Stegostoma tigrinum: one gene and its partner. The protein of the gene in region 2 purifies or fractionates together with the protein of the main gene of each other region. This does not show direct contact. Links are inferred from orthologs where the notes say so. Each region holds a gene or a part of one and is shown on either strand. Other genes may lie near its edges. The genes, in order: centriolar coiled-coil protein of 110 kDa-like and kinesin-like protein KIF24.

Region 1 (15,834 bases), on a different chromosome or scaffold from region 2:
TATCTAACCAGAAGGAATAATTTCCTTGACTCTTAAAAAGAATGTATCTTTAAATCTAGACAATCAAAAAAATCAATGAATAAACAAAAATAAAAACCCTCTTGACTCTGCCCCCTCCAAGCAAGGGGTTGATAGTAAAATAAATATTCCCTGGTTCGTTCAAAAGCAAAGGAAACTCGAAAATCCTCTGCTCGCTCCCATGGAATGCTCCCAGCACAGGGACAACTTAGGTTTCAAAATCCAGAGGAAAGTGCTTTTCTACTCATTTTAACCAAATACAAAACTCTCTCTTACTGACCCCATCAAGCACACCAGAGATAGGGACAGTATGGGATTTAAATAAAAGCCCCCTTTGGCTCTTCCAAGGGGTCCAAAATAAACACAAAAGAAAAAAATCTAAGTAAATTAAAACAGCGTTTTGCTAGGCATAAAACTGAGACTCACACAAAAAGTCGAATAGAAACTTACGCTACTAAATCAAAATATCATTATTCAAACTGATGATACTTTACAGCCGCCATGATGCCCATTGTCACAAAAGGCCTCAAGCCTCCTCCACAATCATTATCATCTCTGTGCTTTTTGTTCTAGGATCTCCCTCACCCTCTAACCATTCCCTGATCTTCCCTGTTCCACTTGCTCGTCTCCATCTTTCTCAACAGTATGAAATCCAATGTTTTACTCTTCTCTTCAGTTTAAAAAAAACGTCATACTGGATTTGACACTTCCTGTTTTTAATTTTGAGCTGTTCAGTTTGAGAAATCTGAGTCATTCTTAATTTGATGCCAGACAAGCATTCACAAGATTGACAGAAGTACAGCAGAACCTCTGCTTACAGAAGCTAACACAAATTATTTCACTGAGGTACAACACAAAAGGTGGAGAGAGAAGTGGGGGCGGGGGCGGGGGGGGGAGAGGCAGAGAGAGGGGGAGAGGGAGAGGGAGAAAAGAGGAGAGAGAGAGAGAGAGAGAGAGGGGGGGGGGGGAGAAAAGAGGAGAGAGAGGGGGAGAAAAGAGGAGAGAGAGAGAGGGGGAGGAAAATAATGGAAATTCTGGAAATGAAGGTGCAAGGGATGGGAAGCCTGCAGATGAGCATAGCAATTTGTCATCCCATCCAAATAGGCTTTGTTGGCACTTAAGTCCACATCAGCCAGCTTCACTAAAACTTATCCACATCTTCCTCTATTTCTCTCTCACTCTTCCGTGTGCTTGTCATCAGTTTAAACGTGACTAAGGTATCACCTAAACAACTCCTTATAATAAGGAGTACCATATCCTTGGGATAATGCGGTGTCTCAAAAATTTCTCACTGGATTTAATCATGAATGCCTTCTATAAATAACCCTTAGATTAGATTCCCTACACTGTGGAAACAGGCCCTTCAGCCCAACAAGTTCACACCACCCTTTGGAGCATCCCACCCAGACCCATCCTCCTATAACCCACACACCCATGAACACTACGGGCAATTTAGCACAGCCAATCCACCTAGCTTGCACATCTTTGGACTGTGGGAGGAAACCAGAGCGCCCAGAGGAAACCCACGCAGACACGGGGAGAATGTGCAAACTCCGCACAGACAGTTACCCGAGACTGGAATTGAACCCGTGTCCCTGGCGTTGAGAGGCTGTGGTGCTAGCCACTGAGCCGCCGTGCCGCCTTTTAGTTTTGGACTTTTCCATAAATAAACCATTTCCTTCTATTTACTCCAATAATTCTTTCATAATGTTACAATCTCCATTAGGTCACTTTCAGCGCTCCTCTCTGAGCCTTTCCCAGGTATAACCAGGTATATCAGTTCTGATATCAGTTCATCATATGGAATTGGCCAGTCAAGCAAATGCAGTGGAAGGTTGTGGTATAATTGATCCAGAAACCAGGAGCACCTGTTGACTAGAGATCGAAACAAAGAGACTGCAGTCGTTCATGCAATATCCATAGTCCACGAATAAATAAAAGTAAGATATCTAATAGATGACCTTGAAGAGAAAAGTGGAAGAAAAGCTGACTGAACGTTTCAGAATATTTGGGTGAAGTGAAACGCATTTAACAGAAAGTGTCAATGTCATGCAAAACTTGAAGAGAATAATTCATTTTTTAAAATTATACACGTGACTATGAGAATTGCATGTCACATCTTTGTTGCAAAACACTTCAAGGTAAAAATATTCCTCAAAGCAGTTCTGCACAACATTAGTGGTCTTTTAAATTACTCCATCAACATCCACTCAAAAACATATTCAGTTAGGACTTATTTACTTTGTGGTGCTCCAGAATATGATTAATATTGGCATTAACAAGGACAACATCATCTTAAATCAAACTGGCATTGCTCCTCACAGATTCAAATGGATTGTTCACTCAAAACCATGTTTGTATTTTACATGAATCAAAAAATATATTGTACCTGCATTGCATGACCTTTGACATCAAAGTAAATGGTCATATTGCCTTTGAGACTTTCAACAATAGCTTCCTCCAAGGTTGGGACTTTCTCATTTGGAAAGTATTTGCTACATAGAACAGAAATGCAAATCATATTAGATATTGAGGGTTTAAGAAATAAATATTGAAATTAATTAAGTTCAATTACAAAAACTGAATTGTAAAAATTAAAAAAACAAATTACATTGTTTTAAAATGAAAATGTTTATGAAAACAGCATAAATATTTACAATGAGTTTTAAACATTGTACGATTGTAGTTTCCTGCACAACTGAACAATGAAACGTATGAACAAGAAACAATGAAAAACAGTTAAAATTAATTGATGAATATCAAGGTTATTTCTAAATCAGAAGCAAAAACAGAAATTGTTAGAAAAGCTCAGCAGACATGGGAGCTCCTGTGGAGAGAAATCAGAGTTAACATTTCCAGTCGAGTGACGATTCCTCAGACTCAAAACGTTAACTCCGATTCCTCTCCACAGATGCTGCTAGACCTGCTGAGTTTTTCCAGCAATTTCTGCTTTACAGCATCTACAGCTCTTTGGGTTTTTTAAACTACTTGGTTCAAAAATTAATTAGAAATAAAAATCTCTGCTGTTTCTCACAGACCAATTATCTGGTCTATTCATACAGCACATTATAGTTAGCCATACAGCTGAGCAGCAAACCGGAATACAAGTATTATATATTTTCACATAAGACAACCATAGAAGAGGCAAGAAACAGAGACACACAAATTAGGCTCTATCATATGTTGAAAGGTTTCTTCCAGAAATGTAAAATGTTCTTTCTGGATGTTTTTGTAATGCAATGAGTAGATTGAGACAGTTTCATCTGTCAACCACATTTTAAATGCGTTGCGACTTAGCTGTAGCACAGTGCTCTGAAGTCAGTCTTCGGAGGTTCCCAGAGTGCTCAAAGGATCCTGGATGGCATTTAAGACGTATCTAAATTTCACGGAACTATGCGGCACACAATGTCAAACCCATTACGTGAATGAAAACCTTATTAAGATGTTCTCACACAGCCCTTATCTGGAAAGTGAGAAGATACCTTTGGACCTATAAGATAATGGAGCCATTGCAAAGTAGATACTGATTGTATTGCAATCAACCACATCGTTATCAGACTGCGACTGAATGAGTCCAGAAAAAAAAATTGATAACCATATGCCCTACTGTAGTTCTCCAAGGTATTACAATTCAAAGGTACTGCAAAGAATAAAGTTAGAACCCAAAAGAAGGAATTGATCAGGTTGCACAAAATGCCAGTGCAGTTTTCAAAGCATAGCTGGCTGAACATATAGAACATTACAGCACAGTACAGGCCCTTCGGCCCTCGATGCTGTGCCGACCTGTCATACCGATCTCAAGCCCATCTAACCTAAACTATTCCATGTACGTCCACATGCTTGTCCAATGACGACTTAAATGTACCTAAAGTTGGTGAATCTACTACCGTTGCAGGCAAAGCGTTCCATTCCCTTACTACTCTCTGAGTAAAGAAACTACCTCTGACATCTGTCCTATATCTTTCACCCCTCAACTTAAAGCTATGCCCCCTCGTGCTCACCGTCACCATCCTCGGAAAAAGGCTCTCCCTATCCACCCTATCTAATCCTCTGATTATTTTATATGTTTCAATTAAGACACCTCACAACCTTCTTCTCTCTAATGAAAACAGCCTCAAGTCCCTCAGCCTTTCCTCGTAAGACCTTCCCTCCATACCAGCCAACATCCTAGTAAATCTCCTCTGCACCCTTTCCAAAGCTTCCACATCCTTCTTATAATGCGGTGACCAGAACTAAACACAATACTCCAAGGGCGGCCGCACCAGAGTTTTGTACAGCTTCACCATAACCTCTTGGTTCCGGAACTTGATCCCTCTATTAATAAAAGCTAAAACACTGTATGCCTTCTTAACAGCCCTACAACCTGGGTGGCAACTTTCAAGGAGCTGTGTACATGGACACCGAGATCTCTCTGCTCAGCTGCACTGCTAAGAATCTTACCATCAGCCCTGTACTTTGCCTTCTGGTTACTCCTACCAAAGTGCATCACCTCACACTTGTCCACATTAAACTCCATTTGCCACCTCTCAGCCCAGCTCTGCAGCTTATCTATGTCTCTCTGCAAACTACAGCATCCTTCGTCACTATCCACAACTCCACCGACCTTAGTGTCATCTGCTAATTTACTAACCCATCCTTCTACGCCCTCATCCAGGTCATTTATAAAAATGACAAACAGCAGTGGACCCAACACCGACCCTTGCGGTACACCACTAGTAACTGGTCTCCAGGGTGAACATTTCCCATCAACTATCACCCTCTGTCTTCTTTCAGCAAGCCACTTTCCGATCCAAACTGCTATATCTCCCACAATTCCATTCCTCCGCATTTTGTACAATAGCCTATTGTGGGGAACCTTATCGAGCGCCTTGCTGAAATCCATATACACCACATCAACCGCTTTACTCTCATCTACCTGTTTGGTCACCTTCTCAAAGAACTCAATAAGGTTTGTGAGGCAAGACCTTCCCTTCACAAAACCGTGCTGACTATCCCTAATCAATTTATTCTTTTCTAGATGATTATAAATCCTATCCCTTATAACCTTTTCCAACACCTTACCAACAACTGAGGTAAGGCTCACTGGTCTATAATTACCAGGGTTGTCTCTACTCCCCTTCTTGAACAGGGGAACCACAGGGCTGCAACACTTCTGAAATAACAATACACTGAAAAATGTGGTCTAATTCTTATCAATTTGAGATTCCATCGCAAAAAATTTGAAAAGGTTGTTTTACTACTATAATCAGCATGGGATACATTCTGATTACATACTGCAGTCTGTGCTTGGCTGCCGGGTTAAGTTTTCGGACATCTTCGAAAGTTAAGTGATCAAGAGAACCGATACCATCAGTTGTGCGGTCCACAGTACGATCGTGCATCAGAATAGGGAAACCATCTGAAGTGAACTCGAGATCCAGCTCCACACCAGTAGCGTTATTTTCAGCAGCCTAAATGAGGAGCGAGAACAGGACGTCTCAAAGGATTCATCAGCTTATGTGCACTGTAGCTTGACAGAACACCTCACTGTAACGCTGGCACTACATAATGCTGATTTAACTTAGACTGTCATGAAAAAAGCTCGATAATATTGATTATTCTCCTGATAGAACAGAGGATATAATGCAGTGACTTGAGTATAGACTAAGCATTCTAGTAACTTACCCGAAAATATTTTAAACGGAACTGTAGAAATTTTTTTCATTTTATTTAAATCCATCTCATGGCCAGTCCTTTTATTGTCTTTGCTCTGGCTCAGTGTACATTTTCTCTGATAACAACTCCATAATCCAGAACATATCTTGGGGCTTTGTTTGTGTAAATTAAAGAACATAAATAGAAGTTGATATTCTCGTTGTTAACTAACAATGAGTTACATAATTAAACCCAATCCTCTTCCTTGCTCACCAACTGCACAAACATATCCAGTACTGGTTGCCGTCTTGTTCTGGCAATTTTTCCCTTCAGTATCCAAGGTCAAAGAATAATACGGCTGAGATAGTTAGGATCAACTGAATCAACACAGGCAAAGAGATGTGATTTTCCAGAGCTGCATGGATGTGAACTAACTGAAAACCCACATCACACTCAGTGCCAGTTTTAACAACCGACAGTTGTAGGAATTAAGGTGTTGTAATAACGTACACAAAGCGCTCTCAAGTTTCTACCAAGCAATCCACTGAAGGTGGTGTCTCTCAAGACATTCTTTAAAATTCTATTACACATCAAGTTTTCAGTTACCAAACATTAAAAGATCTGTCTGATCATCTCCTCCTTTGGTTAGGTGCCATTTTCTGTCCCCAAGGCCTTGGGATGTTTTAACTATATTAAAAATACTATATAAATGCAGATTATTACTGCATATAAGGACCTGCTGAAGACAAGGAGATTCAGAAGGTTCCTACCAGAAACTTCACTGATTACAGGAAATTTAACAAGTTAAAAGAACCTGTTAATTTTATTTGTGTACCAATTTTTTTGTTGTGCTGTAAGCCAACTTTTGGGATACTCTTTCCTTGCAGGAAAGAATTGTTGGGTGCTTTTTTACATTGGAACTGATGAGAAATGCAACTCTGCGATGCTGGGTATTGGTTAAACCACAAAACTTTAAAAAAGCTTTCCCGAGTAAGAAAGCAGTAAATGTGGAGAGTCAAAATAATCAAAATGGTTTCAAGCTGAAACATTTTGGAGGCTCAAGATCCTTTAATATTTCTTTAAAACAGATCAATAGAGCTACTAACAAGACTTCTCCTCAGTACTGTAACAATTATTAGCAGCACTGAAAGATACAGAAGAACAAGGAGCAGCAGCTGGACATTCAGGCCTTGAATCTAATTCTGCCATTTATTAAGATCATGGTTGACCCAGTTGTAACTTTATATGCACATTCCTGTCAAATCCTGGTAACCACTTAATATATTGTTTACCAAGATAAGGTGATGAGCCATCAATTTTTTCCTAGAGTTTGGGGAGTCCTAAACAAGAGGGCATAGTTTTAAGGTGAGAGAGCAAAGATGTGCAAAGGATTGAAGAGGTAACCTTTTCATGCAGAGGGTGATGCATGTATAGAATGAGCTGCTAAAGGAAGTGGTAGAGGTGGATACAATTGCTACATTTAAAGCCATCTGGATGGTATATAGATTGGAAGAGTTTAAGAGGGATATGGGCCAAATGCTGGTAAATCAGACTAGGTCAGATTTGGATGTCTGGTCAGCACAGATCGGGTAGACTGAAGGGTCTGTTTCCACACTACGATTTTATAAGAAACTAGCTTCCACTGTTCTAAAAATATTCTTCATCCACTGGCTTTCAATGTTTACGTAAGCAAGGAAAGACTAGCCACCAAGCAACTGAAGTAACTGATGTGTGTCTGACAAGTTGAACACATCTACCAAATTTTTTTTACACTAAATATTACTGCTGTAACTACAGAAGATATTAAAATTCTGAAAATATATGGGTTGAAATTAGAAATAAGTATCACCTTGATGGGATTGTACTACAGCCCCACCTCAACAGTCAGAGAGAAATTCAGAAGCATATGTAGGGAGATCGTATGTAAGCACAATAAGACTGTAATAATGGGGTACAAAAATAGAAATTGCTATTACAGACTCAGCAGGTCTGGCAGCATGTGTGGAGAGAAATCAGAGTTAATGTTTCAGGTTGGGTGACATTCTTAAGGTTCTTGTGAAGATGTGTAGCTTGGGTTGCGGATGAAGTTGATGGCATGCTCACCGAGCTGGCTGGTTATCGTACAGGGGTTAGTATGACATTTATATGATCTGGTCCACCTTAGCTCAAGCCAACCACAGGAATTCCTAGAGGCCTGGTTTTCAACACGTAGTGCAATCAACAAACATGTGGAATTAAATCCCATATACAAATCCAGAACAAATTGGAAATGATACAACCCAACTTATGGACTAGATCATATATATTCCAAGCAGAGTAGAACTACATCACTTCATCAGAGGCTGCGATCATGTTACCTGGCACAGTGACGAAACGTATGTACGATAACCAGCCAGCTTGGTGAGCATACCAACAAACTCATCCACAACCCAAGCTACAAATATTCAAAAGAACCTTAAAGAATATCAATATATTGAAGGAGAAAGCTTTGGGTATCCTAAATTGCATTGAGGTAGACAGCTCTCCAGGAGCAGATGAGATCTATTCTAGGTTAGTGCAAGGGGCAAGGGAAGAAATAGCTGGGCCATTAGCAGATATCTACATATCCTCTTTGACCACAGGCGAGGTTCCAGAGAACTGGAGATTAGGCAATGTCTTTCCCTTGTTTAAGGAAGGCACCAGGGATGATCCCGGAAATTACAGGCCAGTCAGTCTGATGCCTGTGGTGGGGAAGGTCTTGGAGGGTCAAGATATATGCACATTTGGAAGAAAGTGGACTAGTTAAAGACAGCACGGTTTTGTGTGGGAAAGGTCACATCTCACCAGCCTGAATGAATTTGTTTTTGACCAACTGACAAATATAATCGATGAGGGAAGCGTTGTGGATGTAGGTTATTGGGACTTTAAGGCATTTGATAAAGTCCTACATGGCAGATTGGTACAAAAACTAAAATCACATGGGATTTGGGGTGGGTTCTAGGCCCAAAATGTCAGCCTTCCTGCTCCTTTAATACTGCTTGGTCTGCTGTGTTCATCCAGCTCTATACCTTGTTATCTGAGATTTGGGGTGGGCTGGCTAGACGGATACAAAACTGGCTAGGTCACAGAAGACAGAGGATAGCAATGGAAGGGCTTTTTCAGAATGGAAACCGGTAACTAGTAGTGTATTGGTCTTGGGTCCTCTGTTGCTGATATTGCCGACAACTGTGAAAGGATACACAAGGGTATAGATAGAGTGGCGACTTGGGCACAGAAATGACAGATGGAGTTTAATCCAGACAAATGGAAGGTGATGCATTTTGGAGGATCAAATTTAAGTATAAATTATACTGTAAATGGCAAAGCTCTTGGGAACATTAACATACAGACGGATCTGAGTGTACGGGTAACTTTTTTTTGGTAAAGTTAGGTCACACAGATTCAGGATGACCTTGCCAACTGGATACACGAATAATTCAACAGCAGCGGACAGAGTGGTGATAGAGGGTTACTCTTCAGAGAGGAGGCTGGTCACCAGCTGTGTTTCACAAAACTTGGAGCTGGGTTCTCTTCTGTTCATCATTTATGTAAATGATTTGTATGAAAATGTAGAAGACATGACTGGTAAGGTTGTGGATGGCACCAAAACTAACAGCATAGTAGACACTGAAGAAGATTTTCTAAGGTTACAAAGGAATCTTGATCGCATGGGTCAATGGATGGAAAGATGGTAGATGAGTTTAGTTTGGATAGATACGAGGTACTGCATTTTGGTACAAAAAGCACAGGCAGGACATACAATTAATGGCAGGGTGTTGGGTAGAAAAGAGGGACCTGGGAGTTCAGGTACATAATTCTTTGAAGTTTGCATTTTGTGGGGTTGAGAGTTGGTAAGTTTTGGCCAGGGTTGGTGGATGGAGGGAGGGGAGGGGCTGTTTTAGAAGGGACTGTAGAAGTGGAATAGGGTGGAGGGCTTCAAAGGGACGGTTGGGAGTTTGAAGATAGGAAGCCTGGAGGGCGATGAAGAAGAGACAGACAGTAGACCAACGGGACACTCACCTTCCTGATGGCCCCCAGGGTGTTCTCCGGGGCATCATAGCCGCCTCCCCGATGGGCGACTACCGAAAGGCGGCCATTGGGACGGAGCACCTGCTGAGCGACCTCGAGCGGCACGGGCGGGTACCTGAGCGCTTGCACGGCCAGGCACAAGCCGAGCACTAGTACCGGAAAGTAGACCGGGTGGCACACACTCACCACCAGCAGTGCCACCACTGCCAACAGGAGCAGAAATCCGGCCACCACCGTGACATCCATTACCGGACACCCGCCCCCCCGGCCGCTGACGCTCCAGCTCGGGCAACTGGTCCACAATGGCGCTACGGCTCCTCACCATGGACACGTCTCCAGGGACCGCCCTCACCGGCAGGCGTCAGCACGCAGCCTTACGTCAGACGCTGCAACAAAGAGGAGAGGGGCGGGGCTGACAAGAGGAACTGTTGCTGGACTGGGTTGGATAAGGTCAGAAATCACGCAACACCAGGTCACAGTCCAGTAAGTTCATTTAAAAACACGCTTTCTTACACACGCTCCTTCTTCAGGTGTCAGCCTGATGCCGAAAGCTGTCTTCAAACAGATCCGTTGGACCATAATCTTCTGATCTGTGATTTTTGACAGTATGGGAATGGCCTGAATGGGGGGCGGGGCTGATAGCAGAGAGGTGTTGTTTGTGGGGGTGGGACTGTGGCTGATAGCGGAACAGGACCGTGTGAGAAGGCGGGGCTAAAAACAGAACAAGGCGGTACGTGGGGCGGGGCCGTAGATGGGCGGGGCTATTGGCTGGGGTGGGGTTTTGGGAGGGTCGCTGTGAAAAATGGAGTGGCTGTGTGTGGGGTTAGAGATGGGGAGGGTTGAGTAATGTGAGAGTCTGTTGGAGAAAGTGCAAGGGGTCAGCTCTGTTAGGCTCAGAACCATTCGGAAACTTTGCCAAGCTGATGGCAAACATTCTCTCTAATAGCATTTGATAATTTTCATTTATCTATAGATAATTTATTTACAGTAAAACATTTATTAAATGACTTAAAGTAAATTCACAATCTCACCCATCATTGGTGCTTTACAAGGATGATTCATGAATTCCATGGATATACGATCAGCATAGAATCCTTCCAGTGCGGAAACAGACATTTGACCAATTGAGCTCACAACAGCCCTCCGACGAACATTCCACCTCCCCACCCAACTCATGCAACCCTGCATTTCCCTCGGCTAAGGGAAACTGACTAACTGCACCCCCTACGTAATATGGGGCAAGTTAGCCTGTCCAATCCAGCTAATCTGTACATCTTTGGATATGTTGGTTTGTTATCATGCACAGATCAAAGATTGGTCTGTGTGGAATGGGTTTCAATTTGTGGGACCCTGGCACCAGTAACAGGTAGAAGGGAACTGTTCTGAGGGGACAGGCTTGAACTTGAACCTTAAAAACTGAAAGAATTGTGGATTCTGTAAATAAGGAACAAAAACAAAATTGCATGAAAAGCTCAGCAAGTCTGGCAGCATCTGTGAAGGAGAAAACAGAGTTAATGTTTCGGATCTGGTGACCCTTCCTCAGAACTCAGTTTTTGATTTGAACCTTGCTGGGACCGGTTTGCTAGTGAATTAAATCATTTGGGCTTTAAATTAATGGGGTGGGGAGAGGTAGTTTGGGAGAAGGGACATTTAGGCTTACAACAGTGCTTGTCTACAAGTCTCTGAAGACAGTAGAACAGGTTAACAGGAGCAGAAATTAGGCGAACTACCCTATGTCTTATGTTCTAAAGAAGGAACATGGGATAGTTGCCCTTTATCAATTGTGGCTCAGATTATAAGAGCAAAAGATTTTGACGAAGCTATACAAAACTTTGAGTGGAGTACAGTGTGCAATTCTGGTCACAACACTATCGGAAGGATGTGATTGTACTAGAGGGGATGCAGAGGAAATTTACAAGGATGTTATTTGGAATGCAGCATTTTTGCAATGAAGTGAGGCTGGATAGGCTCAGGCTATTTTTTTTAAAGAGTAGAGAAGGCTAAGGGGAGCCTGATAGAGATGTATAAGATTATGAAGGACACGATTAGTATGGACAGAAAGCAGCAGCTCCCCTTAGTTGAAGGCTCAATTATGAATAATTTTAAATTGAACATCTGGAGGTGTAGAAAGCATTTGAGAAAATACTTTTCTTTCATTGAGAGGGTGATAGGAACCCGGAATGTACTGCCTGGGACAGTAGTAGAGGCAGGAAACCTCACAGCCTGAAGATGAGCATGAAATGTTAAAATACGAAAGACTATGGGGCAAGTATTGGAAAGTGGAATTAGTTTGGTACAGACTCAATGGGCCAAAAGGCCTTTTCTGTAGATCATAGAACTGTACAGCTCAGCAATGGGCCCTTCAGCCATGATGTTGTGCCAAAAATGACACCAAATTAAAATTAAATTAAGCACCTTTCTGAAGAAGGGTCCCGATCCAAAACATCAGCTTTCCTGCTCTTTTCATGCTGCCTGACCTGCTGTGTTCTTCCAGCTCCATATTGTGTTATCCAGTAAAAGCTAGCTGTCTTCAAATCCCATTGAAGATGAATTCTCAATCAGTGAATGAAAGACCTTTGGTGCGCAAACAATTTTGTGCAAACAAAAAACGAGAAACAAAGCAGTTCATCAACTGCTCTGATCCAGTATGCTGCTCATGAACCAGGTCTCCCTGATATTTTCCCAACCTGAATATCCATGTCTTAACTGCCTTTGTATGCATTTCTGTTTGTGAAGGGGGTATTTAAAAAGGAATAGAGTTTAAATTGTGGAGTAATAATTTGGCAATTTATTTTTCCTAATTGCTGTTTTTTGGGGTTAGCACGGTGGCACATAGCACTAGAGACCGGATTCAATTCCAGCCTTGGGCAACTGTCTGTGTGGAGTTTGCGTGTCCTCCCTGTGTCTTTGTGGGCTTCCTCTGGGTGCTCTGGTTTCCCCTCATTGTCCACAGATGTGCATGTTAGGTGGATTGCCAATGCCAAATTGCCTTGTAGATGTTGTGGGATATACAGGCTAGGTGAATTAGCCATGGGGAATTAGTAAGAATGGGTAGGATGCCCTTCAAAGGGTTGGTGCTGACTCAATGGGCTGAATGGCCTCTTTCCACACTGTAGGAATTCTCTTCTTCTAAGTACACAAACAGGGTAAATGTTTTCCTTTAAGGCAAATTTTTCAGGCAGGTAAGTTGGGAACTTTGGATAAATCTTTTCACATTTGTGAGAATTCTGGGAATAGTGTGGCTTGCTTTACAAGCACTAACCCATTAAGTCATGGTACTTATTAGAAGCTTGGGTTTTCTTATCTTTAATAAATCTTGCATTGTCACAAAACAATCTAAAAGGGGGGGGGGGTGGTGGAGATGTAGTGTCACTGAGTAGTAATCCAGCACCCCAGGTGAATTTTCTTGGAGCTAAGAACAAAATATGCTGGAGAAATTTAGCAAGTCTCAGGTGAGAGAAGCAGAATTACTGGGGACACGGATTCTTTTCTGTCCTTGACAATTAGTGAAGTTTGAATTCAATTAATAAATCTGGAATAAAAATTTGATCTCATGGTGACCATGAACTACTGTTGATTAAAACGCATCCCATTCACTAATGTCCTGAGGGGAAAAAAAGTCCTCCATCCTTACCTCGTCTGGCCTACATGTGACTCCAGACCCACAGAATCATGGTTAACTTTTAACTGCCTTCTGAAATGGCCAAAAGAGCCACTCAGTTGTACTAAACTGCTACACAGCTTGATAAAAGAGGTGGACCACTCGGTATTGTTCAAGGCACTGGCAAAACAGAGTTCACAATGAAGGTCAGGTAACTCCATTGTAAAAAGTGCTGTAATCCTTTCTACAATCTTTGATTATTAAAACAGTCCTTTTCCCATTTCAGTCCACATTCAAAACTACAGTTACACAAAAAGTTATTAATATAATGTAAATAATCAAGCCCAGCACTGATCTGGCTCTCCACTGGTTACAGCCATGGATATGACAGCCATCTGGAACAAAGTGTCGAGGTAATGTTCCCCTTCCTCGAAATGGCATAACATCTGCAGCTTGGGCTCCAGACCCTCAACTCTGTACCTAAATTCTTCTACTCCAGATGGGTTTACCCTGGATCAACTTGGTGTTCAGCAGCAACCACATGCTACAGTAGCAATACATCACCCATTCTGCAATCACTATGGTATCTTATTTAATTTGTTCATTTAATTTCCTTGTCCTTTTCTTCATTAATTCATATGATTTCAGTGTCGCGGGCTAGGCCAGCATTCATTGCCCATCCCTAATTGCACAGCGGGAAGTTAAGAATTGATCACATCATCATGTAGGAGGTGATGGCGTCATAGTATTATTGCTCGACTAATAATCCAGGGACCTAGGTAATGTCCTGAGGATCTTGTTTGAATCCCACCCTGACAGATGGTGGAGACTGAATTCAATAAATCTCTGGAATTAAGAGTCTAATGATGACCATGAATCCACTGTTGATTGTTGGAATAACCCATCTTGTTTATTGATATCATTTACTGAAGGAAACTGCTGTTGTTATCTGGTTTGGTTTACATGTGATTGCAGACCCACAGTAATGTGGTTTACTCATAAAATGCCTTCTGGGCAATTAGGGATGGGCAATAAATGCTGGTCCAGCCAGTGATGCCATCATCCTGTGAATGAATAAAATAAAGCAAGCCAGACCAGGCAAAGATAGCAGTTTCCTTCCTGAAACACTAGTGAACCAGATAGGTTTTTCCCAACAATCATCATCATCATGAGACTCTCAATTCCTGATGTTTATTTTATTCAACTTCCAGAATCTGCCAAGGCAGGATTCAAAACTCGGTCTCCAGAACATTAGACAACAAAATCTGAGGCTGGATGAACACAGCATGCCAAGCAGCATCTCAGGAGCACAAAAGCTGACGTTTCGGGCCTAGACCCTTCATCAGAGAGGGGGATGGGGTGAGGGTTCTGGAATAAATAGGGAGAGAGGGGGAGGCATCTGCAGTTCCCATTATCTCTCCAGAACATTAACTGAGTTTCAGGATTAACAGTCTAATGATAATACCACTAGATCACTGCAAAACCGCAAAGCAAGATGGTGGTGCAGTAGTGCTCCTGAGCTCGGGGTACATCTGCTTCTCTTTTCTTTTTTCCCCTCTTTGCTCTTTTTTCTCCTTTTTAATTACCTCTTGTGAAGAGCTCGGTCATGATAAAGGCATCGGCGGTTGTGCAGTGAGCCCTGTGTGGACTCGTGGTGAAGGCATTGGAGTTTGGGTTCCTGGTGGCTTCTGCATTGACAAGGTGGACCCAGAGCTGGCTCATGGCTGCTCCAGTAGAGGTGTGTTTGGTGGTTGGTGGCGACTGTGTCCAGTGCAAATTCATGGAGGCAGCCCCATAGAAAGCCCTTGGCAGCAGCAGTGGAGTTGAGTTCAAGCCAGTGCAGAATCCAGCGGCATTAATGACATCTGGCAAGAATTCAGGGTGGCACCAGCATCGGTGGGAGATGAAATGGCGCCACAGAGTGGTGACTCTTTTACTTTGAACATATAACAGGAAGGACTGTAAAGTTAACTTTATTTCTTTACTTTTCTGATTTTATATTCTAAGTTTTAGATTTTCTTGTGCTTCAAGACAGCCAGAGAATGAGGTTGTGGACATGATTGCTGAGCTGGTGGGTTTGGATGCAAATGTTTCATCACCCTGCTAGCTAACATCGTCAGTATGCCACTGGTGTTGTGTATCCATATTGTCAGCTTTCTTCTGGTTTGGCCTGTGTAGTGTTTCTCACAGTCCTTGCTTGGTATTCTATACATTACACCTGTTTTGCTGGTTTTGGGTATGGGATCCTTTACGTTTGTCAGTAGCTATCGTAAGGTGTTGTTGGACGAAAACTCACAATAGGGACACATGGACACCAATTAGCTACCAAGAGACATGACCAGTTCTACTTGTCTCACTACACATGGACAATGAGGGACAAAAATTCTATTGGGACAACACATCTTTAATCGCACAAGCCAAATAGAGATATGCCAGGGAATTCCTGGAGGCCTGGTATTCCATCCGGAACTCCATTAGCAAAAACATGGAATTAGACCTGGTGTACAAACCACTAAGAAACAGAACCAGAAGTG
Region 2 (15,059 bases):
GCCAGTGTAAACACGATCGGTCAAGCGGCCTCCTTCTGCTCCATAATAAAACCAGAGCCAACAATTGTTATGCAGCAGTGCTAGTATAGCTCTGGATATTCTACAATTAGCAGGCACTGAAGACAATGAAATTAACTCAGTGCACCAGGAATCACTATCCATCATAGATACTCCAGCCTTACAATTACAAGGTAACGCAGACCCTCATTTCTCTCAAAAGACAGGATCACAATGATAGGAAAAAAAAATGCCAAAGATGAAGTATCAATCTACATAACAGCACTTTAAACCTGTTTGCTGCTTCAGGGCAGACTGACAGAGAAAGAACTTATGTTGGTGATTCAGTAGAGGCAGCGACCTTAGAACTTCTCATACTTATGGATTTGGGTAGTGTGTACGAAGTCTCTGCTGCCTCATTTGAGAAGTCCCAGCCCTTTGTTGAAGCGCAATGAAAGACATAGCATACGTATTTCACAGAACACACCAAGGATTTGCAACAACAGCAACTGCATCCACAGCAACATGAAAAAATATTTTTCTGTGATGAAGATCATGGCACTAAAGGCAAGCAGAACGAGACCAGCAATCTTATTTTTCAAATCCTAGCAGTTGCAACTCCATGATCATTAAACATGAATGGATCCATGAAAAAGCTGTAGACAACACAGCCAACTGGAGACGCAGAATGCCATAGAGAATTTTAAATTAAATATCAAGAACATAGAACATTACAGCGTAGTACAGGCCCTTTGGCCCTCAATGTTGCGCTGATCTGTGAAACCAATCTGAAGCCCATCTAACCTACACTATTCCATTATCATCCATATCTTTACCCAATGACCATTTAAATGCCCTTAAACTTGGCGAGTCTACTACTTTTGCAGGCAGGGCATTCCATGCCCTTACTACTCTGAGTAAAGAACCTACCTCTGACATCTGCCCTATATCTATCACCCCTTAAATTAAAGCTATGTCCTCTTGTGCTAGCCATCACCATCTGAGGAAAAAGGATCTCACTGTCCACCCTATCTAATCCTCTGATCATCTTGTATGTCTCTATTAAGTCACCTCTTAACCTTCTTCTCTCTAACGAAAACAGCCTCATGTCCCTCAGCCTTTCCTCATAAGACCTTTCCTCCATACCAGGCAACATCCTGGTAAATCTCCTCTGCACCCTTCCCAATGTTTCCACATACTTCCTATAATGCGGCGACCACAATACTCCAAGTGTGGCCACAGCAGAGTTTTGTACAGCTACAACATGACCTCATGGCTCCGAAACTCAATCCCTCTACCAATAAAACCTAACACACATACGCCTTCTTAACAACACTATCAACCTGGGTGGCAACTTTCTAGAATCTATGCACATGGGCACTGAGATCTCTCTGCTCATCCACACTAGCAAGAATCTTACCATTAGCCCAGTACCCTGTATTCCTGTTACTCCTTCCAAAGTGAATCACCTCACACTTTTCTGCATTAAACTCCATTTGCCAGCTCTGCAGCTTATCTATGTCCTTCAGTAACCTGCAACATCCTTCCACACTATCCACAACTCTACCGACTTCAGTGTCATCCACAAACTTACTAACCCATCCTTCTATGCCCTCATCCAGGTCATTCATAAAAATGACAAACAGCAGTGGCCCCAAAACAGATAGATATATAATAGAAACTAAAAACTATAAACTTAAAAGCTTGGCACTTTTGTGATGAAAGTTTTGCAATTTTAAATATATAATTTTCTATTACCAGACGGGTTCTTTATTCAATAATTGTGGCATAGTATTCTTAATCATTGATAGAAACTTCTAGATTTTGATATTTGACTATGTGTGTATGGACTCCTGAGGAGTAACAAACATGAACACATCATCATTACCTCTGCAAAATCCAGGCTATTGGAGAATTTTATTATCTGTCACAATTTCAAAATCTCCATTATAATTTCTCAGTCTCTGCCTCCAACTGACTTATAAGTATATTAACTTTTTAGTGCCCCTTGGTAGTTTAAATAATGAAGGATCAAACATAAATGATCAATAACATGGTTTTCTCTGCTGAATTCTAAAATACCCACAGCTCAGATATCCTTCTCTTTCTGGCAACATTATAAGCCTCTTTCTGTCAATAAAGTAATGGGAATTTCTTCAACTAGACAGTGGTGAACCTGTGGAATTCATTGTGACAGAAGTCTGTGGAGGCCCAAATCACTTAATTTAAGACAGAGAAAGACAGGTTCTTGATTATTGAAAAGGCAGAAGAATGGGATTGAGAAATTTATCAGCCATGATCTCATAGCATCGGAGGCATGATGGGCCAAATGGCCTAATTTTGCTCCTATGTCTTATGGTCGTATGACGCTATATAAAGTCAGACTGAAGAAATATTACTGCAAAAATAGGGAAATGGCTAAGGATTTGAGTGGCTATTTTGCAACAGTCTTCACTACAGAGCTTACAAATAACATCCTAGTTGAAGTAAAAATCATGAAATGGAAGGGAAAAAGCAACTCAGGAAAATCATAATCACAAGAGAAGTGGTGCTGAATAGTTGAAGCTACAGACTGACAATTACCCAGGGCCTGATGGACTTTATCATAGTGTGTTTTTTTAAAAAGGAAAAGTGGCTTGTGAGATAATTGATGCATTAGTTCTAATTTTCCAGAGCTCTGATTCAAGGATGGCTCCAAGAGATTGGAAAATAGAAAATGTAATTCCTTTATTCAAAAAGGGAGACAGAAAGCAAGAAAACAAAGGCCAGTCAGCTTTGGATAGAACACTCTAGTTGACATCAAAATAGCATTTCATACAAGTTTAACATAATGTTGGGCTTCTTGTACTTCATACCTCTATTACTATACCGAAGGATACTGTATACTTTATCAATAGTTCACAATGCTTCCCAGTTTTTTGTCACCCACAACTGTTGAAATTGTGCCATTTCCACCAAAATCTATGTCATTAACAAATCACAAAGTTTAAGGGTCCAAACAGGCCCATGGGGAACTCTAGTACATATCTTATTCTAGTCCAAAAATCACCCATTAACTCCTAATGTTTCCTGTCATTCTGACAGATTTGCATCTATGTTGCTACTGTCTATTTCTTTCCATGAGCTATAACTTTGCTCAAGACTGAAATGCAGCACTAAGTCATTAATATTGTATGATTTTAATAATCAGAACCAATAAACATGAGAAGTTGGCAATGACACTACTAACTGACTTTTGCAATTCCATTAATATTACTGAGTCATTCCTCCCTCAAGCATCCACAGATACAGTGAATTGACTTACATAAAATACTAGTTTCAACATAAACTTCAATTTAAATCCCAGAATTTTTTGATTTTACTTCATTGTAACATTTATTGCATGTGCCTAACTGCCCTTGAACTGAGTCGCTTGCTCGACCATTACAGAGGGCAGTTAAAAGTTGACCACATGTCACAGAGATCTATAGCACAGATAAAGGTCCTGCAGCACATCAACTCTGCACTGGTCAAAAACAGCACTGATCTATTTCAAGACCATTTTCCAGCAATTAGCCCATCACCTTGTATGCTTTGGCATCGCAGGTGCACATCTGAATATTTCTTAAACGTTAAGAAGGTTTCTGCCTCTACCACCCTGACAGACAATAAGTTCCAGATTCCCACTACCTCTGGGTGAATATGTTTCCTCATACTCCCTCTAAACTTCCTGCCTTAAACCTATGTCCCATGGTCATTGAATCCTCCACTGAATCAAAGAGTTTCTTCTGCCTATACCATCTATTCTCTTCATAACTAAAACACTCCAGCCCGGATGACATTTTAGTAAATCTCCTCTGTATTCTCTCCAGCGGTATCACATCCATCCATTAATGTAGATTCCAGAATTGCATACAATACTTCAGCTTTGGCCTAATCAACATTTCATACAGTTCCAGCATAACCTCCCTGCTCTTGAATGCCATGCTTCGGCTCATAAAGGCAAGTATCAATAAGCCTTCTTAACCACCTTATCTATCTGTCCTGCTATCTTAAGGGGCTGGTGAATATGTACACCAAGACCCCTGTGTCTTCAGGTTTCCCCAAGGTCCTTCTGTTCATCAGGTATTTCCTTACCATGTTGACCTGCCTAAGTGCAACACCTCACACCTATCTGGATTTAATTCCATTTGCCGGATCGGTCCGTCTAACCAGGATATCTAAATCCTCCTGTACTTGAAGGTTATCCCCCTCATTATTTATCACTGCATCAATTTTCACATCATCCCTGAAATTATTGATTAACCCTCCTACATTAAAGCAAAATCATTTATATGTAAAATAGCAAAGGCTGATTCCTGTAGGATCTTACTGGACACAGGCTTCCAGTCAAGAAACACCCTTAGACCATCAATCTCTGCTTCCTGCCACTGAGCCAATTCTGGATCCGATTTGACAACTTTCCTTGGATACAATGAACTCTCACTTTTGCTATCAGTCTCTCCCATGTGGGACCTTATTAAAAGTCTTGCAAAAGTTCAGGTTGACTGTGCCAAATACATTGCTCTCATCTACACACCTGGACATCTCTTCAAGAAATGAAAACAATCAAGTTGGTCAGAGGTCCCCTTAATAAAACGACACTGACCATTATTAATTAATCCCTGTGTCTCCATTCTGTCCTTCAGAATTGCTTCCAATATTTTCCCGACCATGGAGGTTGGAATGACAGCTGTGGTTTCCTATTTACCTTCCCCTACCCTCCTTGAATAACTGGCTGTCATCCAGTTAACTGACACCTCTCTTCTGGCCAGAGAGGAATTGAACATAATGCGAGCATCCACACTATTTCCTCCCTTGTCTCACTCAACAGCTGAATACATTTCATCCAGCCCAAGTGATTTACATACTTTTAGGCCTGTCAGGACACTCAAACCTTCCTCTTTGTCTATGCTAATTTCTTTAATTGTATCACAGCCCTTCTCCTTGATTTCTATACCCAGGTAGTCCAGCTGAATAATGAACACTGACACAAAGTATTCATGTCGAACGTTACCTATACCTTCCATTTCCACTCTCAAAATTACCACTGTGGTTGTTAACCTTTCATCCTTACTGTTGCAGTCAGATTCCTCCAGCAGGGCCCTTTGGCCCAAACAGGTCCATGCTTACCAAAATGTCCAGATAGAGTCACAGAAAATAATTCAAGATTTTTGATTATTTTATCTGCCATTATCTTTTCCTACACCTTTTTTATTCTCCTAATTTCTTTCCTCAAATTTCAACTTCCCATTTATATTCCTCTATGGGTTCTGCTGTTTTGAGCCCTGAGTACATGCAATAAGCCTGCCTTTTTCTCTAAATTCTTTCCAGGGTATGCCTCGACATTCAGGGTTCACTGGATGTGTTGGCTCCACCCTCTATCTTTATTGGAACACATTTGCCTTGTACTGTTCCTGTTTCCTTCTTGAATGTGTCCCACTGTTCTTCCATTTACCTTTGGTGAAATCATATCTGATCTTATGAAAATCAGCCTTTCCCAATTTAGAGTTTTGATTTCAGGCACATCCTTGTCATTTTCCAGCAGGAGTTTGAAGCTAATAAAGTTATAATCATTGTCTGAAAAATGCACCTGCACCTCCCCCATACCTCACCCTTTTTGCCAAGCTTCATTACCTAATATTACATCATCGACCACCCTGTGTCCCGCAGGAAGGCTGCATAGGCCAGGCTAAGTAAGGACCATAGATTTTCTTCCCTAAAGAATATTATCAAATCATCTACGTAGGACAGTTTGACAGAAACAGGCTATTCCACTCAACCAATCAAGTCACTGCTTGTAAGCCACTTGAATCTGCTTCCATCTTCCTCATCTATGACTACAGCAACTTTATATTCCCTTCTCCTTCAAATGCTTATCGAGCTTATTTTTAATTGCCGCTACACTATTTATTTCAAACACTCCCCATGGCACTGAGTTCCACACTCTCACCAATATTTTGGTAAAATAAGTTTCTTCAGAATTCATTGCTGGACTTTTACTTGCTATCTTGTAATGACAATGTTGCTAAGTTGGGTATAGTATTTGTGGACTCGAAGGCAGGACATTAGTATTTGCTTGGACAATGATGAGGGGAAAAGAGTGTGTGGTCCCTTTAAAAGATGATGTCTTTTTAGGCTTTATTGTCGGCAGACAGAGTTCTTGAAACTGAAATATTGTGTCAAAAAGCTATACTGTTAGCAGGCAAAGCAGCATTTTTACCAAGGCAACAGGTTTTTGAAGTTAGCCAATTAATTTAAATCAGGCTCTAGAGACCAAAATATAATTAAATTTAAATCTGATGGCTTTGACAACCTAGAAGCAATTTTATTATAAGAAATTAATAGGTCAAAGGTATAAAAAAAGAGGGCATTTGAAAATCAGTGTGAGAGTGAACTGCCATCTGAACAGAAACTCATCCCAAAACCAGCTTCCCTAACCTGTTCTTCCTCTCACCCATCCCTTCCTCCCACCTCAAGCCGCACCTCCATTTCCTACCTACCACCTCATCCCGCCTCTTTGACCTGTCCATCTTCCCTGGACTGACCTATCCCCTCCCTACCTCCACTCTCCTCTCCACCTATCTTCTTTACTCTCCATCTTCGGTCCGCCTCCCCCTCTCTCCCTATTTATTCCAGTTCCCTCTCCCCATCGCCCTCTCTGATGAAGGGTCTAGGCCCGAAACGTCAGCTTTTGTGCTCCTGAGATGCTGCTTGGCCTGCTGTGCTCATCCAGCTCCACACTTTGTTATCTTGGATTCTCCAGCATCTGCAGTTCCCATTATCACTGGGACACCTCTCGGGCATCTTTTCTCAAAGTAAATGAGAGCCAATTGTCCACTCCTGCGCGTACACCTACAGTTTCCGGCATCATCCATGTACGTACTTTTGATAACATCTTTCCATTAACGCTACCACCCCCATTATTTTTAATAACATTACTACTATTATACGACATAAATATAGACAGTTGCTGATGTTGAACTTATTGCTTTTATTGGGGCAATCCACTTACCAACTTTGCAGCTCCCACTCATTCTGCCGTAACAACAGCGCCATTCGGATCCATGGCAACGCCGCCGGCCGTTTGAAAGCCGCCTCGCGCAGCGCGCGCTGCGGCCCCGCGCACGGCCCTGACCAATCCGTGCCCGGTGTCGGCGGCCCGGTGATCATCCAGAAACCAATCACCACCAGGTATCTGGCTCTGACCTATAAGAACCTACGGTAATTGGCCAGGGGACAAAAGATGATTGTACATCCGCTATACAACCGTTCGACCAATCAGGGAAGCACAGAAGCGTTGACCTATCGCAAGATCCTCGAGATAGTGGGAACTGCAGATGCTGGAGAATCCAAGATAACAAGGCGGTCGAGCTGGATAAACACAGCAGGCCAAGCAGCATCTTAGGAGCAGGAAAAACTGACGTTTCGGGCCGAAAAGGGCCTAGGCCCGAAAAGTCAGCTTTCCTGCTCCTCAGATGCTTCTCGTGGTCATCCAGCTCTACACATTGTTATCACAAGATCCCGTCACTTTACAAGAAATTACCACCCATTCAGCAAGAGACCTTTAGTAAAAGCTTTGAACTGATAGTCGATTAATGAGAGAGAATCGTAAAAACGCTAGTTACAGCGTCCATCTGCAGAGAGAACACCCAACGCTTTTAGATGCGAATCTCCGATTCCGTTTCAGCTGAATTAATTGGTGAATTGATTATGTGAGACTGTCGCCGCTAATTGGTCTCGCGGATGAGCTTCCGGTTTTCGGTTGGTGTCTCTTCCTGTCTCCGGCCATGACACTGAGGGCCTGTGGACTGATTATTTTCAGGAGGTTAAACACCGGATTAGCTGCTAAGCCTCAGGACATCGAGTTCCTACTTTTGCAGACTTCCTATGGACAGCATCACTGGACGCCTCCTAAAGGTGCTTCATTCGAGCAGAGAGGATGTTGCCTGTTCTGTGCTGGCTTTGGGCGAGGGATGGGCTGCCTATAGACAATATGTGTTGGAGTAGAGGAGATAATAAAATGTGAGGCTGGATGAATAGGTGCTGGAGTAGGCCATTCGGCCCTTCGAGCCATCACCACGATTCATTATGGTCATGGCTGATCATCCACAATCAGTATCCTGTTCCTGCCTTTATCCCCATAACCCTTGATTCCACTATCTTTAAGAGCTCTATCTATCTCTTTCTTGAAAGTATCCACAGAGTTGGCCTCCACTGCCTTCTGGGGCAGAGCATTCCATATATTCGCCACTCTCTGGGTAAAGAAGTTTTTCCTCAACTCTATATCACTGGTATTAGGGGTATAGGAGGCACCCATTATTTACCTGCTACTTCTGTGTAGATCTAACTGCAATTTCTGTCCTTCATGCACGATTCATCATGTGAATTTGAAAGTTGTTGTCATTGATATCTTTTCCCCACTGCTAATTATGATGGTTAGAATCTCCAGTAGTTGTTAAAGTATACATTATGTGAATTGCCAACTGTTCTCATGCTGAAAATAAATTAAAACACATACTTTTTACAATTAGCAATGAGTAGAGTAAAAATAGTTACTGCTGGCCAGTGTCTTGTTTTGAAAACCAATTCTAAATCTGAGGCCTCATTCTGGGAAGAAAATTAGTGTTACTGATCTTTAAAGAAGTAAAAGTTTTTTTATAAATGTTTTCTGTTGTTTCAATAATCCAGTTTAAACATCCCAATTTTATTTTGCTGCTTGTGCAGTGATTCAGAAATGTATTTTGTTTCTGGTTTTCACAGTCTGTGGCTCAATTTGATTCTTTTAATCTGGTTGAAGAGCCAATCTGCTGCTTGTCTCATTGACGAGGTCGGAAATCACACAACACCAGATTATTGTCCAACACCTTTATTTAAAAACACAAGCTTTTGGAGCATTGCCCCTTTGTCGTCAGGCTCTGCTTCTGAAAGCTTGTGAGTTCAAATAAACCTGTTGGACTATAATCTGGTGTCATGTGATTTCTGACCTTGTCCACCCCAGTTCAACACTGGTACCTCCACATCATGTCTTACTGACAAATGCCAATGATATCCAGTAAAGGGTGATAGCTCAGCTGAACACCCCAATAACAGGATGTCTCTGCTGACAAGCCTGACAGTGCCTGTGGTTTATGGTGAAAGCTGTTCCTTCATTGCTGATTAGAAAATCTGGAGCATAGTCTTGGCCGCAACCATTAGTCATCCGAACTACTTCCACAATTCCTGAGTGTAAAGAGATTTTCATACTCACCATCGACTTAAATGAGGGTGTATTTGATATTCATAACTCATTTAAATCTATGTATTTCTTTAATTTGTTCATAGGAGGGATGTCACCAACTAGGCCAACATTTATTGTTCATCTCCAGTTGTTCGGAAGACGATTGAGTCATGTCTGGGTCTGGATCTGGAGTCACGTGCAGATTTCCATCCTAAAGGGATGGAACCAAATGGGTCTTTATGATAATCAGCAATAGTTACACAGCTGCCTTTGTGCTAGTTTTTATTCCATTATTTTATTGAATTCAAATTTGTGATTTACTGGATTACTGGTCTAGCGACATTACCATTGTGCCACAACCTTCTCTGAAGTCACTTACAATATGATTGGAAAGACTGCTCTAAAAATAGTCCCTGAAAAACACGTGCATGCCAGATTCCAGTGTGTAATGGTAATAGATTTATTGATAAATATAATTCTCATATTGAAATGATTCAATGTCATATACTTTTAATGACTTCAAATTGGTTACTGGGATGATTTCAAACTTTACAGACAAAGATATGCATTTATTCAGCACTTTTCATGACCACTAGACACCCTAAAGTGCTTTGAAGCCATGATATGTAATTTGTAAATGAAATGAACAGAGAGATGTGGAGAAACAGAAACTTGAAGATTTGAGGCAAGTGAAATTTAATGCTTAAAATGGTCCTTTTTGATGAAGAAATAGGAGAAGCATTGTAAAGTAAATTTTTTTAAGTGGCTATGGGACCAAAGACTGGAGGCTGGATTTTAGTTTCTTTGCCGATGCGTTCAAAGGCAGAACATGTGACAGTTTGTCTCTGCAGTTGGCTTGCCTGCCATCTACTCATTTACCCATACCTCCACTCCAAACTGTACTGATGTTATGGTTGACATTGGGCAGTTTACCTGGGCTAATCAAGACTCTCATTGGAAATTAGTTGTTATTTGGGTCTTATCCTGCTGTCACCAGGATTTAACTGGCACCTGGAGAGACCTGTCCCTGGGAAGTCCAGTAGGTTACCTTCTGTGGGCTGTTGGTGTGGCAGCTCCTTCTTATTGGTTTTTGGAGTGCCTGCTAAGAGACTTACACCAACCTGGGTTTCTTTTCCCATCCCTATTGGTACAAACTCCTGATCCTCCACCCCACTCTCCAGAGTCTTCTACCAGCTTTGTACCAGATGAAATCCCCCAAACTCATCCCAATTCCTATAAGTGCACCACCACCTTTGTTCCCAAAGTTCTAGAGAGTTTCTGGCTGATAGCAGTGAAACAGAAATCTCACCTTTTTTTAATTCCCCCCTCAGTGAGCTCCTTCCCCTATTCACCCAACCTTTGAGCTGTGATGGTGGGGAATCTGGCACCTCGTATAATTAAGCTCCTTGGATTTGATGACAGGTCAGATTGAGGCTGTTGGGGCTAATAAGACTCTGTGCTTTCTAAGTTGTGACAGAATACAAAAGCGTGAAAGTTATGCTGACCCATTACAAAATACTGGTTAGACCCTAGTTGGAGTATTGTGCTGGGCACTGCACTTTAAGTGTGTATCCTGAATATGTAACTTCAATTACCTGGACAGATCGTGCCCAACATAATTGTCACTCTGAGGTTGTGTTTTGGTACTTGCTGTTAAAAGGAAACAAATCCGTCAGTCAGAGTTCTTTGCAGTGGTAAACTTAAGTGAAACTTTAATAATTATGTTCGGCCCAGTTATTCACTGCCTGCTTGCTTAATGTCTAATCTTGTTTTTTAAGGGCATGTTGATCCAGGTGAAGATGACCTTCAAACTGCACTTCGTGAAACTGAGGAAGAAGCAGGGCTAAGAAGAAAAGATTTTAATCTGCTTGATGGATACAAAAAGGAAATGATATACAAAGTGAATAATAAACCCAAAACTGTTATCTATTGGCTGGCAGAACTAAAGAACTATAATACAGAAATAAAACTCTCTAATGAGCACCAGTCATTTCGCTGGTTAAATGTGGATGAGGCCTGTGAAGTTGCAAAATATCAAGAAATGCAGGAAGCACTGAGAGAAGCTCAGCAGTTCATCTCATCAAACAAATAAGACCAGGTTCTTTGCAAATGAGCTGGATTGTTAAAATTGTTGAAGGCGTCTCCTCTACTTTGCTCTTGAAATGACAATACTCAATACAACTGTTCACATGTCACCATTGGTCCTTCATGTGAGAGCCTGCATCTTAAATATTAGTAGGCAGCAAAAAGGAAGCATGTCTGGCCTTTGTTTCACACACCCTTCCAAATCCTAACCCTCACCCAGAACCCTAGTTTGGTGATGGAAGGCAGAACTAATTTGTATTTATATACCATTCATTAAACTCAGCATGTTCTAACCGATTAATTGCATTTGAAGTGTATTGGATGTTATTACATTATGAAACTTGCCATGCTGTGTTTCCTTCAGAATGATTCCATAATTGACAGTAAGCTAACTTGGATACTCAGTTCTGATGACTCTAATGGACAGCACAGAGTGCTACCATGCTTGTCCTTGAATCAGATCATCGAGTTTGACACTTCGTCCTAAAATGACAGATGAAGACTCCATTTAGCATCCTTGTCTGAAATATAGCATTTCCAATAGGGCAGCATTCCCTGAATGCCACCAAAAACAGATGAACTGATTAGTCATCTTATTTCTGTTTTGAGAACCTTGCTGGTCCTTGGCAGCTAACTTTACTTAAAATAACAAAACTTCTTTGGCTGTGTAGCACTTCAGGTTATTCGGGGGCATACAATAAAAACAAACTGCTGGAAATATTCACTAAGTCTGGCAGTGTTTGGAGAGAAAATCATACAAACGTATGATCAGGAGTGGGACATTCAGCATTTTGAGTCCAATCAATAAGATCTTGGATTGTCTGATTGTAATCTCAGATCCACATTCCTGCTGACCCTGATAAATTTTTCAACCCTTTAATAAGAATCTGTCAACATTTGCCTTAAAAATTTTCAAGAACTCAGTTTCCCACCATGTTTTTCAGCAAGAGAGTACCAAGACTTGTGACTGAGAGACAAACATTTTACCCAGTCCCTTTTAAATGGATGACCCCTAAGTTTTATTTAAACATTGATGATCTGCTCACACCCACCTCTCCGTTCTAAGTTTTCCCAAAAGCAGGAACACCCTTTCCAAATCTATCAGTACGCCTCAAGATTTAGTTGTTTTAACTAATCACTTGTTACTCTAAACTCGAGCAGATACATGACTAACCCGTCCACCCTTTCCTCATAAAACAATTCACCTGTTCCAGATATTAATTCCTCCAATGCATTTAAATCTTTAAATGGATTACTGTGCGCAGTACTCCATGTTTTCACCATCGTTCTTTCAATGTCACAGCTTTAGTTTCCAGATCTCGTGATAAATGATAACATTCAATTAGCTTTCCTAATTTGCTGTGCCTGCATTCTAACTTTTTGCCGTTCATGTATGGGGGCTCCCCAATCTGTGTATCGTTGAGCTGTGCAATCTCTTACCATTTAGATTATATCCTTTTTTTATTCTTCCTAAAAAATGGGCAACTTCACATTTTCCAAATTATATGCCTTTTGCCACACCTTTGTCCACTCACAATGTAGCAGTATCTTTTTGTAATCACCTTGTGTCTTCTTTACAATGTACTTTCCTACCTATTCCCTATGTCAGAATTGACAATTGTACTTCTGTCCCTTCAGCAAAGCCATTTTTATAAATCGTAAACAGTTGAGATCCTAGCACTGAACTCGTCACGCCTCTAATTACATCTTACCAACACAAGAAAAGATCTATCGCGTGTACTCTCTGCTTCCTTTTACCCAGCCAATTTTATATGGAAATGAATATGCTACCTTCGACACCATGAGGTTTCATTTTCTCTGATAATCTTTGATGTGACATCTTTAACAAATGCCTTCTGGAAATCTAAGTGCAATACACCCAGCAGTTCCCCTTTACCCACAGCATTTGTTACCTCCTCAAAAATCTCCAGTAGATATGATTTCCTTTTCATAAAACTGTTGACTCTGCCTGATTGCCTTAACTTGGTCAAAGTGCTCTCTTAGAACATAGAACAGTACAGCACAGAACAGGCCCTTCAGCCCACAATGTTGTGCCGACCATTGATCCTCATGTATGCACCCTCAAATTTCTGTGACCATATGCATGTCCAGCAGTCTCTTAAATGACCCCAATGACCTTGCTTCCACAACTGCTGCTGGCAACGCATTCCATGGTCTCACAACTCTCTGTGTAAAGAACCTGCCTCTGACATCCTCTCCTCCAACCAGCTTAAAACTATGACCCCTCGTGTTAGCCTTTTCTGCCCTGGGAAATAGTCTCTGGCTATCAACTCTATCTATCTATGTTATGATGTTCTTAATTATTGCCTCTAACAGCTTCCATTTAACAGATGTTAAGCTAACTGGCCTTTGGTGTCCTACTTTCACTCTCCCTTTTTAAATGTAGGAGTTACATTTTATACCTTCCAAATCTATTGGGACCATCCCTGAATCAAGGGAGCTTTGGAAAGTTGGAACCAATGCATCAATTATCTCACTATCCACTCCTTTTAAAACACTGCAATAAAATCCATCAGGACCGAGGCAATTGTCAGTCCATAGCACCAAATACTTAGTACCACTTGTTTTATGATAACAGTTTTGGAGCTGGATGAATACAGCAGGCCAAGCAGCATCTTAGGGCAGGAAAGCTGATGTTTCAGGAAAGGCCTAGACCCTTCATCAGAAATGGGGGAGGGGAAGAGGGGGAGGCACAGCGAAGATGGATAGAGGAGAAGATAGGTGGAGGGGAGACAGACAAGTCAAAGAGGCAGGGTTGGACCCAGTAAAGGTGAGTGTAGGTGGGGAGGTAGGGAAGGGAAAAGGTCAGCCCAGGGAGGACGGACAGGCCAAGGGGGCGGGATAAGGTTAGTGGGTAGGAAATGGGGGTGTGGTTTGAGGTGGGAGGAAGGACAGGTTAGGGAGGTGGGGAAGAACTGGACTGGTTTTGGGATGCAGTGGGGGAAGGGGAGATTTTGAAGCTTGTGAAATCCACATTGATACCATTGGGCTGTAGGGTTCCCAAGCAGAATATGAGTTGCTGTTCGTGCAGCCTTCGGGTGGCATCGTTGTGGCACTGCAGGAGGCCCACGATGGACATGTCGTCTAAAGAATGGGAGGGAGAGTTGAAATGGTTCACGACTGGGAGGTGCAGTTGTTTATTGCGAACCGAGCGGAGGTGTTCTGCAAAGCGGTCCTCAAGCCTCCGCTTGGTTTCTCCATGCACAGGAGGCCACACTGGGTACAGCGGATGCAGTATACCACATTGGCAGATGTGCAGGTGAACATCTGCTTGATGTGGAAAGTCTTTTTGGGGCCTGGGATGTGGGTGAGGGGGGAGGTGTAAGGGCAGGTGTAGCACTTCCTGTGGTTGTAGGGAAAAGTGTCAGGTGTGGTGGGGCTGGAGGGGAGTGTGAAGTGGACAAGGGAGTCACGGAGAGAGTGGTCCCTCCGCAAAGCAGACAGGGGTGAGGAGGGAAAAATGCCTTTGGTGGTGGGGTCGAATCGCAGATTCTTTGCTGGTGGGGTTGGATTGCTGATTTCTTTGGTGGTGGGGTCGAATCGCAGATTCTTTGCTGGTGGGGTTGGATTGCTGATTTCTTTGGTGGTGGGGTCGAATTGCAGATTCTTTGCTGGTGGGGTTGGATTGCTGATTTCTTTGGTGGTGGGGTCGGACTGCAAATTTCTTTGGTGGTGATTTTCTTGAATTGCTCCCTCCCATTTCATGTTTTACCACTGC

Evidence for each region.
Region 1: the proteins of kinesin-like protein KIF24 (region 2) and centriolar coiled-coil protein of 110 kDa-like purify together in Homo sapiens (co-immunoprecipitation; 4 studies listed by BioGRID and IntAct, with this or other methods). This does not show direct contact. The link is inferred for Stegostoma tigrinum from reciprocal best matches to the Homo sapiens genes KIF24 and CCP110.

The regions. Positions count from the first base shown.
Region 1 is NC_081376.1:55,074,790-55,090,623, forward strand, and holds the start of centriolar coiled-coil protein of 110 kDa-like, read left to right. Parts: upstream 1-10,117; 5' UTR 10,118-10,182; intron 10,183-15,834. Other genes in the region: gde1 (glycerophosphodiester phosphodiesterase 1), read right to left, coding at 2,408-2,513, 5,293-5,468, 9,691-9,945.
Region 2 is NC_081354.1:141,153,170-141,168,228, reverse strand, and holds the start of kinesin-like protein KIF24, read right to left. Parts: upstream 7,778-15,059; 5' UTR 7,031-7,777; intron 1-7,030. Other genes in the region: nudt2 (bis(5'-nucleosyl)-tetraphosphatase [asymmetrical]), read left to right, coding at 7,806-7,935, 11,014-11,327. UniProt on the Homo sapiens protein: Microtubule-dependent motor protein that acts as a negative regulator of ciliogenesis by mediating recruitment of CCP110 to mother centriole in cycling cells, leading to restrict nucleation of cilia at centrioles.